Linked DNA regions of Drosophila melanogaster. The protein of the gene in region 2 interacts with the protein of the main gene of each other region in a pairwise test. Each region holds a gene or a part of one and is shown on either strand. Other genes may lie near its edges.

Region 1 (9,904 bases), on a different chromosome or scaffold from region 2:
CTTGGAGAAGGTAATTGAGATCCAGCCATTTGTGCAGTGCAGGCCAATGCTGGATGGTGTTGAGCAGGAGTGTGGGTTGTCCTGCCTCAAAGCACTTTGTCTGGAACTCTTCTAGACTGGGAGCGTCCAGTTGGGGTATATCACAGTTGGAGGTTACTCGGGTTAATGGCTCTAGAGTTGGAAGTGGTGCGGAATTCAGTGCTACTGCTCCATCCTTGTCGAGATAATCCATTAGGGCGACTTTCAGTTCACTCCAATCCTCCATGCAACCCAAAAGTTGAGCCTCATCGAGGATCTCACTGCACGCATCCTTCTGGGCGGGACTAGTGCTCTCCAAGAGAAGGAAAAAAATCTAAAATGTATATTTGTAGTTTGTATGGCTTAGTTAGCATCTAAATCCCACCTTGAAGCAACAGGCTATGGCGTATATCTTCCTCGTGACCAAGGGAACCTGGCTGAAGTGCCCTGTGTGAATGCGTTCCCAGTTCCTGTCCACCAGCGCACCTACCAGATATCCGGTTTCCTCCGCCCCGGAATCTCCGCCAGACCTCAAGTTCGCCAGGTGATCCGCGGCTCTTTTGAGTATGTAGCGCGCCTCGACTTCACCACGGACCACATTTTCCAGATCCACCCAGCGGGGCAGCAGCTGCGTCAGCTCCAGGAACTCACTATCCATAGAATGTTAAACAACTATTATTTGTTTACCTTTTAGCTTACATTCAGCGTTGCCAGAGTTCATTTGTAAGCATTAAATATTTCGATTAATCGATGTTTTAAAATATATTTAAAAATTGATGAGTTGTTCAGTACTTCAAACATGTATTGCTTAAGGATGCCTTTAGTAAATTATAAATAGTAGCTCCGTGGGTCCTTCCATGGTGAAGATACATTTTGCACTGGCACGAAATGGAAAAACGATTTCCATGGGCGGAGTTATGACCGCCGTTTTGGACGCCGAATGGCATTGTGTGCCCCAAGTGCCACTAATTACGGGTTTTAGACTAAGCTGCAGCTTGTAAACAACAATCATGAGACAAGAACCCGGATAGTGGAATTGCTGACGGTCAGAGCTGAGGAGCATGTCGAGGACTTCGGATGACATCCGGAAGCACCTGAAAGTGCGGCGCCAGAAGCAGAGGGCCATTTTGGCCATGAGATGGCGCTGTGCCCAGGGAGGATTGGAGTTCGAGCAGCTGGACACCTTCTACGGAGCCATCAGGCCATGTAAGACCACTTTTCCAAACCACTTTCATATGTGTCTAAACATATTACAATGGACAATAGATCTGTGTGTGGCGCAGTTCTTCGGCATTATGCCTTTGTCGAATATCCGGAGTCGCGATCCCCAGGATGTGAAGTTCAAGGTAAGGAGCATTGGCCTGGCAGTCACCGGTCTCTTCCTTTTGCTCGGTGGCATGAAGACCTTGGTCGGTGCCAATATTCTCTTCACAGAGGGTCTGAATGCCAAGAATATCGGTGAGTTTTAGATGGTATGGTAGTGTGATCCCAACTGAAAGCTCAATAGTGGGTTTGGTTTTCCTTATCGTGGGCATGGTCAACTGGCTAAACTTCGTGGGCTTTGCTCGCTCCTGGTCGCACATAATGCTGCCCTGGAGTTCGGTGGACATTCTGATGCTCTTTCCGCCCTACAAACGTGGCAAGCGAAGCCTTCGGTCAAAGGTCAACGTCCTTGCTCTGAGTGTGGTCGTCCTGGCAGTAGGTGAGATTTCTGGGTTATCCTTTCAATGGTTTCCAGAAGAACTTTCTTTCAGGCGACCACATGCTGTACTACGCCTCTGGCTACTGCAGCTATAGCATGCACATCCTGCAGTGCCACACAAACCACTCGCGTATTACCTTTGGACTTTATTTGGAGAAGGAGTTCTCCGACATCATGTTCATCATGCCATTCAATATATTTTCCATGTGCTATGGATTTGTAAGTTAACTATATATATTTTAGTTAGTTAGTTTGAATAATGCTCTCTTTTTTAGTGGCTAAATGGAGCCTTCACCTTTCTGTGGAACTTCATGGACATCTTTATTGTGATGACCAGTATTGGACTGGCGCAAAGGTTTCAACAGTTTGCCGCTCGAGTTGGCGCACTGGAGGGTCGTGTAAAATAATCCAAACTATTTCAATGTATTTCTCTTTTAAATCCCCATCCCATTTAGCATGTTCCCGAAGCCTTGTGGTACGACATTCGGAGGGATCACATTCGCCTTTGCGAGCTGGCCAGTTTGGTGGAGGCCAGCATGTCGAATATAGTGTTCGTATCCTGCGCTAACAATGTGTATGTGATCTGCAACCAGGCGTTGGCTATTTTCACGTGAGTCATCTGTTTGTAGCTACCCCCTAGTCTCATTTCAAATCTTTTTAGCAAACTGCGGCATCCCATAAACTACGTTTACTTCTGGTACTCGCTGATCTTCCTGCTGGCCAGGACGAGTCTGGTTTTCATGACTGCCTCCAAGATCCACGATGCCTCGCTTCTGCCCCTGAGGTCCTTGTACTTGGTGCCCAGCGATGGCTGGACGCAGGAGGTGCAGAGATTTGCCGACCAGCTGACCAGCGAGTTTGTCGGATTGTCTGGATATCGTCTCTTCTGCTTGACAAGAAAGAGTCTCTTCGGAGTGGGTAAACTTCACGAGTCTTCACGATTCCCATACTGATCCCAGCCATCCTCTCCAGATGCTAGCCACCCTGGTGACCTACGAACTTATGCTGCTGCAAATAGATGCTAAGAGCCACAAGGGACTGCGGTGCGCGTAACTAAATGAGTGAACTTTAGTCCAGTTTAACTTAACTGAATGTATAATAAAATAGTCAGATAATCAGATTTGAAAAAGGGTAGATTCCTGCGAGGAAAAGTCAGTTAGCAGCTCATGTGTGAGTTCAGCCAACCCGACTCGGGCGGTTATTAAATGGCCAAAAGGCTTCCAGGATAATTGGCCATTCCGAGTGTCATTTCAATTTCAATTTTTGGCCAGCTGTCATTCAGCGAGGGCGAATCCACAAATGGGAGGGCAACCAAAGTCGCTTGCCATTAGTTTCAATTATTGCTACACATGTAGGCAAACGTAATTTTGAAGGCAACTCGATGAGTTTTGAAAGGAGAAAGGAGTTGGAGTGCACTGAAAAATATGTTCGGAAGCTAAAGTTCTAAATAATAATAATCTTATCTTTACTGCTTACTTCTAAACCCTTTCAAAAGCCACTTGGTGTGCTCTGAACTAAATACCATTTTTTTTTCGAGTGTAAGAAAAGTTAACAGAAACACGAGAAGGCGGCGGAAAAGTCGCTTCGAACAGAAATGGCTTTTCAATTTCAAAACTCGGCCTTTGACACTTTGCCAATTAACACTTTCCTGGTTACCGATTGCCATTTTTGTTTGTGGTGGGCCACCGGCTGCTCCCACCGCCGATCCTTGCCGCTATAGCCGCCGTTGAGGCAATTATCCTGTCAGGAAACTTTCTACGCAGCCGAAGCAGCTAGCAAAACAGAACGCCAGCAAAAACAAAGGTCCTGCAGGTTGGTCACTTGAAAGGAGCGCGCCGGCACCCTCGTTTCCGGAAAAGCAACCCCCGAATGGGTTTTCAGTCGTAGTTTGTTTTGGGCCAAGTGTCATGGCAACCGGAAAAACTGGAGAGCTGGTGTGGAAAATCGGGGAATATTTGGACGCAGAACGTGAGTAACCGCCGAGGAGCGAGGCCATGAGCCACCAGGATGAGCATGGACATACCAGAGACCGTATCCCTGCGCAAGTTCCGCGACTTTTCGGCGCGCCAGAAGCAGGAGCTCTACGAAACGCTCCTCGAACTGGCCGAGTCCATCGATGAGCTGCCTAAGAAGTCGCTGAGGAAAACCCTGGAACTCACCCTGGCCGTTTTGGAGTACAAGGGCGAGCAGGTACAGCAGCTGCAGGAATCAGCAGCCGGAGGACTCTCCTCCGACCGCCGCCTGCAGGATGAGAATGAGAAGCTGAAGCGAATGCTCCAGAAGTTGGAGGACGAACGCGATGGCCTGAAGAGCAAAGCCAAGGAGGTGAGCAGTAGATCATGTAAAGTACCCAAGCTCAAGGATACGCTTTTTTCTCACTAGTTGGGGGAGGAAATCCGTCAGTTGGAGCTGCGCCTGCAGGAGGCGGCGCAGCAGGCGGAAATCAGCGACAAGGATTCATCGGATCCCCTGTCCGAGCTGGACAAGCAGGAGCAGCTGCTGCAGAACATCGACTCCAAGAACAAGCACATCAAGCGGCTGCTAAAGGAAATCGAGGTGAGTCATATTATGTTTTGCATTCAGAATATACTATATTCATTCCCTTTCAGACACTGCAAAACCAAAACATAGCTCAATCGAAGACCATAGTGCTCCACGAGCGGGAGCTGCAGACCATCAAGGCGAATCTCGTGCAATTGAGCCAGGACATCACCAAGGTGGAGCAGGAGCGCAAGTCCTTGAAACAAAAGGAGCAGCAGCAGGCGCTGGAAATCACTCGCCTGGAAGGAAATCTAACTTTCCTGGAGGTGGAGCGCGAGAAGCAGGAGGTGGAAATGCGTCAGTTCCTGGACAAATACGAGGCCAAGTCGCTGGGCTGGAGGCAGGCGCTCGACGATCGGGACAAGGAGGTGGAGCGTCTCAAGAAACAACTGGAGGGCAAAAGCATCAGCTCTGGCCAAACCAATTCTTCCAACAGTCAGAGTCAGCAGGAGGAGGAGCACGCCAAACTACGACAGGTAAGGATGAACTGCCGATATATTTTATCTAGATCTTGAGCTCGCTAAATGTTCATCCCTCGTAGCTTTTGGAATCCCGGGAACAACGCATCGAGAAGCTGGAGGAGAAGATCAAGTCAATGGCGGAGGAGATGGTTAGCTCCACGCGTGCGATGAACCAGTTGTGTCAGGAGAAGGAGCGAGCCCACGATCCCGAGCAGCCGCGAGCCTGCTGCCAGATGATCGAGGAGCGCCTGCGGGAAGCCACCGCCCGGTGTCAGCAGCTCTCGGAGATGCTGGAGGCCGCCGAGCAGGACAACGTGCTCAAGTCCCAGCAGGCCCTGCACGCCATTAGTGCCCTGGAGGCCTACAAGCGTGACGAAGATGGCCTCATTCCCGCTCTGCGACGCTGCTCGGGATTGGAACAGAAGGTGGCAGCACGCGACAAGCAGCTGAGGGCCTACATCCAGGAGCTGAACTCCCTGCACGAGGTGGTCCAGGAGAACGAGCTGCTGCGGCGAAAACTTCACATCCCCGACGATGTGGTCATCATGGCCAAGAACGTCCATTCCAAGCAGCGCAACAAGGACAAGCAGATCGAGCGACTGACCCTCAAGCTGAGGACATCCGAGGAGCTGCGTCTGCAATTGAAGTTGGAAAAGAGTGAACTTAGGCGGAAGCTCTTGGAGTTGCAGCAGGACAGTCCGCAGACCTTGAACGAATCGCTGCAGGCGCCCAGCGAAGTGGGTGAAGTGCCTCATAGTGTGCATCTGGAGAATTCGCCGAGACGTGGCCAAGGCGACGGGGCAGCCAGTTCCGAGATGCAGAATCGATACGACGAAGTCCTGGCCGAAAATGAAACACTACGCTCCGGCATGTACGAGATTCTGGAGAAGCTGCGGGAATATGATGGTGAGATAACCATAACATATTTCTTGAATAACTATATGTATTAAACATTATCCATGTAGCCACCTCAGAGCACATAACCATCGATTCCGATCTCTTGCGCCGCCTCATCGAAGCTCTGCCCGGCGGAACGACCACTCCGCAGCGACTCCAGGGTCAGCTCCTAGAGCTGAAGGCCCGAGAGGAGGCACTGCGTCAGCTGCTCGAGCAGCAGAACTACAGTGACTCCGAGACGGGAGAACTGTCCTCTGTGCATAGTCTGTGCGAGGTTCCCGAGATTGCAGAAGAGCATCCTGTCGAGGAGGATGCTGTGCTGAACACAGCCACCAGGCCAAGCTCGCCCACTGAAGCCACGATGGGATTACGCAGACCCACTGTACCAGATCCCGAGGAGAAACCCACGAACGAGGCCCTGGCTGAGCTCTCCATTCTGCGCAAGCACTACGACGAACTTCGTCTTCATATGTCCGCCGATGGCAGTGATCTGATGAATCGCAACCAAGAGCTCCACGATCAAATGATCGCTTTGGAGTTGCAGTTGGAGCAGCAAAGGAATTCCTACTCCTACATGCGCAGGGATTACGATCAACTGCTGACGGAGACCAGAAAGCAGGAACTTCGCTTCATAGATGATAAGGCGTCTCTAGCCAGGCAGTTGGAGCATAGCAAGAGTGAACTATGTGAAGCTAGAGAGGAGTTGGAGCAAGTGAATCGAAGGAATCTCTACACTGCGGAGGAGCAGCAAAAGTTGGAGCACAGGAATGCCATCTTGAGCATGCAACTTGGCCAGGCGATGGAGCAACTGCTGGGCGAGCTGAAGCCCACGGAAATATGCGCTGAGTACGGTATAATCAGGGAGAACTATCAGCTGGATTACATCACAGCCCAGGACTTCGAGGAGCAGCAACAGGAGCTGCTCACTTGGAGGAGCAAGCAGGCGGAGCTGCAGAGGGAGACCAAGCAGCTGGAAGGACTGCTCCATGTGGCCAATGAGCAGGTTGGAGATTCTCCTTGATACCTACCCATGGGAGATCTAATGCCCATCCTCTTTCCAGATTCACTCCCAGCAAAGGCTGCTCAATGAGATCACCGATAACCACATCAATCTGCGTCACCTGGTGGCCGATCTTCAGAGCAGCTCCGACGAGAAGCTAATGCTGGCCAAGGTCCAGAGGGATCTGGATAGTGGTAAGCACAGACTTATTCGAGGAGAAGATCAGTAGCCAGCATGTCTCTCTTTTTTTTTTTAGTGAAAGCCGAGTGCTCCCGCTTGGAAACAGAGCGAGAAAAACTGCAGCTAAAGGCGGACTGCCTGCAAACCCAACTGGAGGCCAGCGAGTTATCCCTGAAACAGACGCAACAGGACTTCCAGCAGGAGCGCACCAATAGCGATATTAAGCACAAGTGAGACCAAGTGGTGGATAATCCCTAGCAGATCTGACTTTCTACCAAATCCCACAGATTCCTCCAGCATTCATTGTTTATGCTCAAAGATAAATATGCCAAATTCACGCCACTGGTCTTCCTTACCAACTTTGTGTTCGCCTACCAAAAGTTCCAGCGTCGCCTGGAGGAGGAGCAAGTGCAGCAGCGACATAGAGATCACACCGCTCTGATTGATGAAGTGACCGCCGTGGTCCAGGCCAAAATTGGTCTCAACGAGGAGAGTTCCCAGCAGTTGGTGAAGCTCATAAAGTCTGAAACACAGACGAGACTCTTGGAACAGCGCTGCGAGATTCTGCAGGCCAAACAGGAGGAGCTCGTTCGGGAATTGGGTGAGTTGAGGATGAGCCAGGCCACCGACACCGAGCACTGGAGCACCATCCAGGCCTTGTTCGGTGAAGGAGAGCCAAGAAGTCAACTCAAGGTGGATGCAGAGACGAATACCGATGCAGTGGCTCCTAATCTGGCCATGAGAAGGGCCGTCCAGTTGATAGACAGGGAGTCATCGCCCATTGGGTCGCCTCTCCGAAAACATCCGCACCTGGATACAGCCACTCAAACGCTGGAGGCGCAAGTTGAGTTCTCGGAGACGGCAGTCCAAACCAATGGCATTCTCAGCCAGCAGAATCAAGCCGTTCAGACAGCGGATGCAGTGGAGGACAATAGGAGAGATTCCCGCGCGGAGCTACAAAAAATGCAAGAAACGTAAGTTCCCCCAAGTAAAAAATGTAAATAACTATTTGCAACTATAAATGGTGATGCCCAACAGTCTGCAGGAAGCCAACCAGCGCATCGAGATCCTTGGCAAGCAGTTGGAGGCTTCCAGATCGGAGAGTCGCGAGTCCGCCAGTCCGCAAGGTGGTGTGGTGGAGAAGACCATACTCTCGTTCCACACCCTGCTCCTGGAGAAGGACCAGTCCATACAAAAGTACCAGGACCTTCTGCAAACCGAGAGGGATCAGAGTCAGCAAGCACTTAGCAAACAGGTGGCTGAAAACGAATCCCTGAGGGCCACGGTTAACAACCTGAACTTCAACATCAAGACGAAGGATGCAGAGATTCAGGGCCTTAAGGAGAAGCTGAGACAGAAACCCGAGGTCCCCGTGGAGCGCAACCCGTCGACGGATTCGAGGTCCAGTTCCAGTTCCGATAGCTCGGTCAACGAGCTGACGGATGAGAAGATCGAGGAGCTCTTCGAAAGCAGCTCAGTGGAGAGACCACCCCAAGAAGAGTTGGAAGTGCCAGTGGAAGCAGGTCCAGAGAACATAGTTACCGAAGAGCCCGAAGGTGAGGAGGAGAAGCAGGACACCGAGGAGCTGAAGGAAGTGCCGACGCTGCACAAGCAAATCAAGGATCTCAAGGACAAGCTGGAGTACAGCGAAAGGAGCCTCAAGACGAGGGAAGAGGAAGTGGATATACTAAAGGAGAAGTAAGTTGTAAAGTAAGTAGTTGTGCATGATCTTAATCCGTTACATTCGACAGGTTGAAGCTGTGCCAGGAGCGGGAGAAGTCGGTCGAAAGCACCGTGAATCCCGAACTGGATCAGCTACGCATCTTTCTGGATGAGAAGGACAAGCACATCAAGGATCTGATGGATACACTCAAGAACTTCCACGTAATGCCCAGCAATACCATCATATTCATCTCTACTATTAAAAGTTTTAAACATGCAGGACGACCAGCAGCGCTACATCAAAGACACCTCGAACTTCTCGGAGGACCAGATAGCCAAGCTGGCTGCCGATCTCAACCGCACCGAGGCCACCAACAAGATCTATCACACCCAAATGGAGGCACTTCGCCGCCAGCTGGCCAACGTCACCCAGCGCGAAAAGCAGGCCAGGGATCTCAGCCAGTCGCTGCGCCAGCAGCTACTCAAACGCCCTGTGGTCTCCATTAAAACGGAACTGAATGCCCGGGTTAAGAACGAGAACCAGCTGAAGAGAATCCAGCAGCTGGAATTGGACTTGGACGAGGCACGTGGCCAGCTGCAGCGACAGCAGACGCTCCTGGAGGCCAAGCGCACGAGGAGTGCCAATGAGGTGCAGCTCTGGGAGAAGCAGAAGCGGTACCAACAGCAGGCGGAGAAGACCAAGGCCCGGCTGGAGGAGACCGAGCTGGCGCTGGAGAAGACCCGTGCCCTTCTCCAGGCAGCGCGCACCACAATAGCGCGCTTGGAAAAGGACAAGCAAATCCTGGAGTCCAAGCTGGGCAGGAACGGTCCGCCGAGCAACAGCTCCGGTGGCAATAACCTCAAGTGCTGCCGCACTCCATCCTGTCCGAATCTCCAGCACGTGGGTGTCAGCAAGTTCGCTCCATCGCCTTCGGAGAGTCCGGAGACCTACACGGGTCCCAGCAGCGAGTGCAGCTCTCCGGCGCATCATCACACCCAGATCTTTGACCAGAGTCAGTTGGACCTTATTGAGGCGCTCAAGTCGCGCATTGAGCTGCAGCAGCGCAAGATCATCGCCATGGAACTGGAGGGCAGGGGCAGCAATGCCCTGACCACGGAGCTGGAAAAATTGCAAGAGCGCTGCCAGGCCATCGAGGCGCAGAACATCCGACTGGAGGCCAGGAACCTTCAGCTGCAGCTCGACTCGGATCTCTTGAGGCAGGGCGACAGCAGCGATCGGCTGCAGAAGCGAATCAAGCACTTGGAGGAGTGAGTAGAGAGCGGCAGTTTCCACGCGTGTGAATCGAGACTTATGCACCACCCCCATTTTTCAGCTACATCATGGCCCTGAAGGAGGAGATGGCTCGCAACGAATCCCGTCGAGAGTTGGGCAGTGGCCTCAAGGTGAGCACAAATCAGGGCCAATCGGCGGAGCAGACGATC
Region 2 (6,531 bases):
CGCATTATCTAAACCACAATTCTAATCTTGATTTTACAATAATTATTCAGCGATGATTTCAAGCAATGAGCTCATGCAAAAAGCACAGAAAATTTTTCCAATTATTATATTTACTTTTAGTCGTGCCACGGTGTGAGTTTTATGATTAATTCCGTGTTTAATATGCATATTTACGATCAACAACAAAGGCAGCCACGTTGTCAATTTTTACAATAAAGTCAACGGGATGTGTCATTCCTTCTTGTTCCTATCCATAATCTGCCTCCCTTTGTTGGGAGTGTTTTTTTTTCTCTGAATATCACATATGTGAAATATATTTCCATCACGTGAACTAATTAATTGTAATTGCGTGCAATTTATGGTAAATTCACGAAATAACTTTTAATAGTTGAAGTGTTTCGTGCATTTTGTTGTACACAAATTGCCAGTTGCACTCAACTAAATTTTTTTTTTTTTTGCGGGGGTTTATTCAGTCGGAATAATAATAATTACGGCGTACGGAAAGCAAAAAGTCGTGCATAAATTAAAAGCTACTTCCTATCATTGTTGTAGCCCCCAAAACATTCCTATTGCACTATTACTTAGCCTCCAGACTGACTGACTTTATTCATAAAACCCAACTGAAACTGATCGCGTGTCTGGAAAAAAAATGTCTGGCCACAAGGAATCGTAAACATCTATATATAACGTATACATATTGTATTGGGATTATTCGGCTCAAAGCCTCGTTGCCCAGCTGATTCAACTTTGCTCGCCGGCAACAGTTTCCAGCTAAATAATTTATTTATTGATTGCCACCCAGGCCAGACAAATTGACGGCGTCGATGAGGGCCACCAGTTGCTCCTATTCTTTTTTTGTTTTTGCGTTCACGTTTCACTTGGCTTGTTAATAAATTATTAGTAGGAAGCGATGGGTCTCGAAAAACCACAATAGCAGCAGCTTTAAACGGGCTAAACAACCTGAAAAATACACAGAAACCAGCTGGACAAAAGTAGTTGACCCTGTTGTTAAAGGCCAGTCGAGAAGTAGCTGGCCTAAAAATCCGTTTATTCCGTTTATTCCATATGGCAAATATATATTTTGAACTAAATATGAAAATACGTTCTGAATAAACAATAGCGCAAATTCAATTATATCTTTTTGTTTGTTGGCTCTGTGTCAGTTTCAACTGGTTTCAATGGCATTGTCACATTTTGAAAGCTACTTTGCACACTCATTCAAATTGAATTAAAAATTTACTTTATTAATTTTGATTTATATGTTTCGCTCTGCAAAAAGATGAATCAACAATCCAGGGCAGCTGGATGAAACCATTCCAGAAACGAAAGTTCAGACTGTCAACATTTTTAAGTCACCTAAATATTCCCAAAAACGACTGAATTTCGTATATTACGAAATAGTTTTTTTTGACTTCTTATAAACTATAGTTGCGCTTGTATTGAGTTGAGTGTAACAATCTTATCAAACATCCCACAAAACATTAGTTCAGCATGAAAGCTGATAAATCTTCCATCAAGTGTCCTAAACCCCAGCGAAAATAGCGATTATCGACGACATTGTGCATTGTGCCGAATACCTAAATACCGCTGGGAGTACAATAAAGATAAAACCAGTACGCTGGTCCTTCGTCCAAATTGTGGAAGTCGTCTATCGACTATGGTGAGCAAAATCGACCAGAAATCATGACATAGCTAACAGATAGGAAGGGGTTTTGGTCTCAAGTGCTCCAAACCGTAAATTGTCGCGTCGGACCATGAGAGAATTTCGCGTGATAAGCGGTTTGAATTGCCCACCCAGATAAGCCGTAATACCATACCAGGTATTTGCCGAGTGGGTTTAGTCATCCCAATGTGGGTGAGATAAAAGTGGACAGGGGTTTACTTAGAGAGGTTCAGGTACCTGACGTTTTCACCGCAGGGGTGCCAGAGGATTCGAAACTACTGCGAAAGAGATCTTTCTGTATATATATGTAGATATAATAGCATGTTTCTAAAGTAAGTTTTTAGGTAGATTTTAAAGACAAGGAAGTGCCATATCAGTAATTTTCTAGAGATTTTTTTTTTAAAGAATTATGATGTATTTCAATTGTATTCTCAACCCAAATCAAAAGAAAAAAAACGAGAGAGAATTTGCAGGTGTTTATTTTCATTTGAATACGCAGCGTTCAAAAGTGATTTGTGTTATTTTCGAGTGCTGTACAGTCAAAAAGAAAAATAAGCGCGTGCAATAAAAGTTCGTTTTGCCTTTCATGATTGATTTATTGCTCAAAAATGGCATATTTGGATATGAAATCGTCATAATTACTTGCAAAATTTTGAGCTTTCACATTTAAGCACTTTTGTTAACATTATGGAGCATTAGGTAATGAATTTAATTAGTTTCGTACGGATGCTAGTAATGTTTTAGTTTCCTAGGTATCTATTATGTATCTAGTATTCCAGTATCTATTTTCGATTACAAATTTAGTTATTTTTGATTAGCGTACAAGTTAAGTCTTACCAGAAGAGTATTCTCAGCGAGTTGGCCACCAGCAGCGCCAGGCACACGTACAGAGAGAATCCCTCCGCGTCCTGCGTCTTCTTGATCTCAATGTATTGGGGCACGTAGGGGATCACGCCCCCAATAACCATTGCGGAGGCGGCGGCCCAGCCCACCACGTGACCGACCGTCAGGCCCATCTCATCATTGATGATCCAATCCATTGTGAGCTATCTCTGTTTACTGGAAATTTGGTTATATTTAGTTTATTCGTTTACTTTGTGTTTTGAAATTTATTTTTCGTTTTAGGTTTTGTCGTTTAGCGGATATGTGTAGTTTATGTTATTGATTTGATTTTTTGACTAGTTTAAAAGCCGGCGATTGGAAGTAGTCGTTGTTGTAGTTACTGGATTTCGCATCGTTTGCGGTTATAACTATTGTTTGTTGAACAGTGTAATGCAGGAAGGAAAGAAAGGAAGTCAGCTGTGTGTTGTTGTTGCTGTGCTTGTTTTTCGTCGTTTCGCTTTGATCTTCTACTTTTGCACACACACACACACACACTGACGCACACCCACACGCAGGCAGCGAAGATATTTATTTTCTATTTCCCTATTGCTCTCGCACGCTCTCACTCTTTGTCGCTCTTTTAATTTTTCCTGTGTTTTCGTTTTCCGCGTTTTTTTTGTATTGAATTTTCACCGAATTTTCTATGCCCCTTTTTTCACGAATCGTCACCGATTTTCCTGCGCACACTTTTCTGGCAGCGGAAAACACTAGACGAGCAAAGCGCTGCAATCACAAATCGCTCCATTTCTACGCAAACACATCAGCACACTTCATAAATGCTCTCGGCATTTCAATTGCATTTTCCCCCGTTTGCCTTTTCCGTTAATTGAGTTAAATTTTTGTTGTGGCTGCAGCCGTTGTTGTTGTTGCTGTTGTTGCTATTATTATTGTTCCGGAAAATCGTACTTATTCATTCGCTAATTGCTGTCGCTTGCTGTTGTTTCAATTTTCGTTCTTCTTCGCACTTTCGGTGGTCAGTTTTCCTTTCACCTCGCCACAGTTTGCATTTCCTCTGCGAGTTTGCGGAAAAACTGTCCGCGGATCAACCGCACGCAAGCGAAAACAACAACACAAACAAACGTACACAAGTTTTGTGGCTAGTGTTACCAGTCAGCGAAATCCTGAAACTCACATTCCCTAACGCATCTGACATTATTATTCGATATTTTTGTTATACTCGTTTTCGACCTGTTTAACGGTAAGATGACTAAGTACCGCGGAGTACCAATCGGTACCTATTTCCGTACCTAGTGTTATATAGGTACAAAATAGTATGTGCGCCTCCAACAAAAGCGTTTCAAATATAAATGAGTTATTTGTATTAATTTATATATATATTTCATTTTCAAAGAAAAATAAGACGAAAAATTCAACTGATATCAACAAGCTGTGATTAATTAAGTATACCGATTTTTGTTGAATCTTGTTTTATTATACAAATAACTGTACACTTCGCATTTATCACAGTGAAAACTGAAAATTGTTGTATGAAATAAAATTTAACTAAGCAAAAATAGGGGTGACACAATAACATTTCGATTTGATAGAGATGGTAATTAAAAATAGATTAAGTTAAAACCTAGTTCTTCTTTTTCTTCTTGTCGGGTTGGGCCAATCCTTGCGACTCCTGGTATTGCCGGACGATCTGATCCTGGACATCTGGGAGACAAGGCGAGTACCTGGAGTACTCCATGGTGAATTCACCCTTTCCCTGGGTACTCGATCTGTAAATAAAGATGAGATATATTTAGATACAATTCAACGTTTCCAATGTGTACTGAAGATTACCTCAGCTCTCCCGCATAGCCAAACATGTCGTTCAGCGGTACCTCCGCGTAGACAGTGAACCAACCCTCGGTTCCCTCAGTTCCGGTGATGATACCATGCCGTTTGCTCAAGTGACCCATTACAGCACCCTGGAATTCCTCGGGTGCAGTGACCTCGACCAGCATAATGGGCTCTAGGATTTGCCAGCTGCCGTTCTGGAAGACCTCTTTGATGGCACCATGGGCAGCCAACATGAAGGCGAGCTCGCTGGAGTCCACGATGTGGTGACCACCATCTTGCAGGCGGAATCGAATGCCGGACAACTTGTGACCGGAGAGCATTCCCTTCTCAGCCATTTCTCTGTAACCTAAGCAAATAAAATATTAAAATCAGAACATTGAGGAATGTAATTTTAGTTACCCTTTTCGACTCCAGGAACAAATTGTTTTGGTACATTGGTGCCCACTGTTTCGTCCACGAATTCCAGCAGGGTGTTTTGGTTCGGCGGTAGTGGTTCCATGACTCCAATAATCCTGGCATATTGACCCGATCCTCCCGATTGTTTCTTGTGCAGGTAATCAAACTCACACGGTCCCACCAGGGTTTCCCTAAATGCTACTTTTGGCTTTCCCAGCGTCACTGGGCAACCGTATTCCCTCTCCATTCTCTGGGCATAGATCTCCAAATGCAGTTCACCCATTCCCGAGACAAGAGTTTCCTTTACATCGTTGTCGAAAAAGAAGTGGAATGTGGGATCCTCTTTGGTGAATCTCGCAATAGCCTTCGAGAAATTATCCCTATCCTTGGTATTATTTGGCTTAATGGCCATTGAGACCACGGGCTCGGGTACAAAGATGGATTCCATAGACAGATTGTTCTTGGGATTGGTGGTGAAAGTGTCTCCGGAGGCGCAATCAACTCCGAAAAGCGCAAATATATCGCCGGCATACACCTCGTTTACATCCTCCATTTGATTTGAGTGCAATCGAACCAAGCGAGCAATTCTCACTTTCTTGTTGGTGCGGGCATTGAAGATGTTGTCACCCTTCCGTAGGACACCTTGGTAGCATCTGAGGTAGGTTAGTTGGCCAAAGCGACCAGCTTCCAGCTTGAACGCCAAGCCAACAAAGGGATCCTTGCCATCGCGGGCGGGATTTAAGACTACTTTTTCTGGGTCTTGTCCTTCCTTCTCGATGAAGCCCAGGTTCTCTACCTCTCCAGGATTGGGCAGGTAGTCAAGTACTGCATCTAGCAATGGCTGGACACCTTTGTTCTTCAGTGCTGTGCCCACCAAGACAGGTGTGAAGGTTCTATTGATGCAGGTTCTCCTTAAGGCCGCCTTAATATCGTCTTCTGTAAAGGGCTTCTCTTCCAGGAAAAGTTCTCCAAGCGTTTCGTCTGCATTTGACAAGTGTTCGATAAGCTCCTGTCTTCTCTCCAGGCTCTCTACCCGCATATCCTGTGGAATTTCGTCCAGCCTGATGTCCATTCCGTGCTCGCCCTCAAAGTATATGGCTTTTTCCCGCACCAAATCCACGATGCCCTTGCAATTGCTCTCCACTCCAATGGGCAGCTGAATGAAAGCAGCGTTGTGGTTCATTTTTGACCTCATCTGGGATAGAACTCTGTACGGGTTCGACCCCAAGCGATCCAGTTTGTTGATGAAAGCCAGGCAGGGCACATTGTAGCGCTTCATCTGCCGGTTAACCGTCAGGGTCTGACTCTGGACTCCTCCCACGGCGCACAAGACCAGAACGGCACCATCGAGAACTCGGAGTGCGCGCTCCACCTCCACGGTGAAGTCCACATGCCCGGGTGTATCGATAATATTGATATTGGTGTCCTTCCACAGTGTGTACGTGGCTGCCGATTGAATGGTAATGCCCCGCTGCCTTTCCAGCTCCATGCTGTCCATGGTGGCACCCACGTTATCCTTTCCTCGCACCTCGTGCATCTCCGCAATCCTGCCGGTGTAGAACAGAATCCTCTCCGTCAAGGTCGTCTTTCCACTGTCAATATGCGCCGAGATTCCTATGTTCCGGATCCTCTCGATGGGCTTGTGCTCCGAAAACTTCGCATGCGAACTGTAGCCGGCCTGAAAAGTTATTTGTACCATTAAACTACATTTCTTACAGCGCTTACATAACTAGCCGATGGAATTTCGTCTATTTCTCAGATTCCAACCAACCTTTCCCAGTGATTTCAATGCCCGGAGGCGT

What was found.
Region 1: the proteins of CG13784 (region 2) and Cep290 interact in a two-hybrid assay, tested with the Drosophila melanogaster proteins (one large-scale study listed by BioGRID).

What each region holds. Positions count from the first base shown.
Region 1 is NT_037436.4:840,639-850,542, forward strand, and holds the start of Cep290 (centrosomal protein 290kDa), read left to right. Parts: upstream 1-3,287; 5' UTR 3,288-3,727; coding exon 3,728-4,045; intron 4,046-4,102; coding exon 4,103-4,276; intron 4,277-4,329; coding exon 4,330-4,737; intron 4,738-4,802; coding exon 4,803-5,628; intron 5,629-5,687; coding exon 5,688-6,622; intron 6,623-6,680; coding exon 6,681-6,813; intron 6,814-6,875; coding exon 6,876-7,029; intron 7,030-7,086; coding exon 7,087-7,773; intron 7,774-7,837; coding exon 7,838-8,497; intron 8,498-8,550; coding exon 8,551-8,683; intron 8,684-8,741; coding exon 8,742-9,730; intron 9,731-9,795; coding exon 9,796-9,904. Other genes in the region: JMJD5 (jumonji domain containing 5), read right to left, coding at 1-352, 404-676; Gr61a (gustatory receptor 61a), read left to right, coding at 1,080-1,224, 1,285-1,476, 1,526-1,720, 1,773-1,939, 1,996-2,118, 2,176-2,330, 2,382-2,634, 2,693-2,773. UniProt on the Drosophila melanogaster protein: Essential for ciliogenesis in sensory neurons and spermatocytes.
Region 2 is NT_033779.5:7,216,409-7,222,939, forward strand, and holds the start of CG13784 (uncharacterized protein), read right to left. Parts: upstream 3,626-6,531; 5' UTR 3,452-3,625; exon of another isoform or gene 2,723-3,451; 5' UTR 2,704-2,722; coding exon 2,501-2,703; intron 2,446-2,500; coding exon of another isoform or gene 2,445-2,445; exon of another isoform or gene 2,243-2,444; intron 1-2,242. Other genes in the region: mEFG1 (mitochondrial translation elongation factor G 1), read right to left, coding at 4,125-4,269, 4,334-4,679, 4,733-6,407, 6,501-6,531.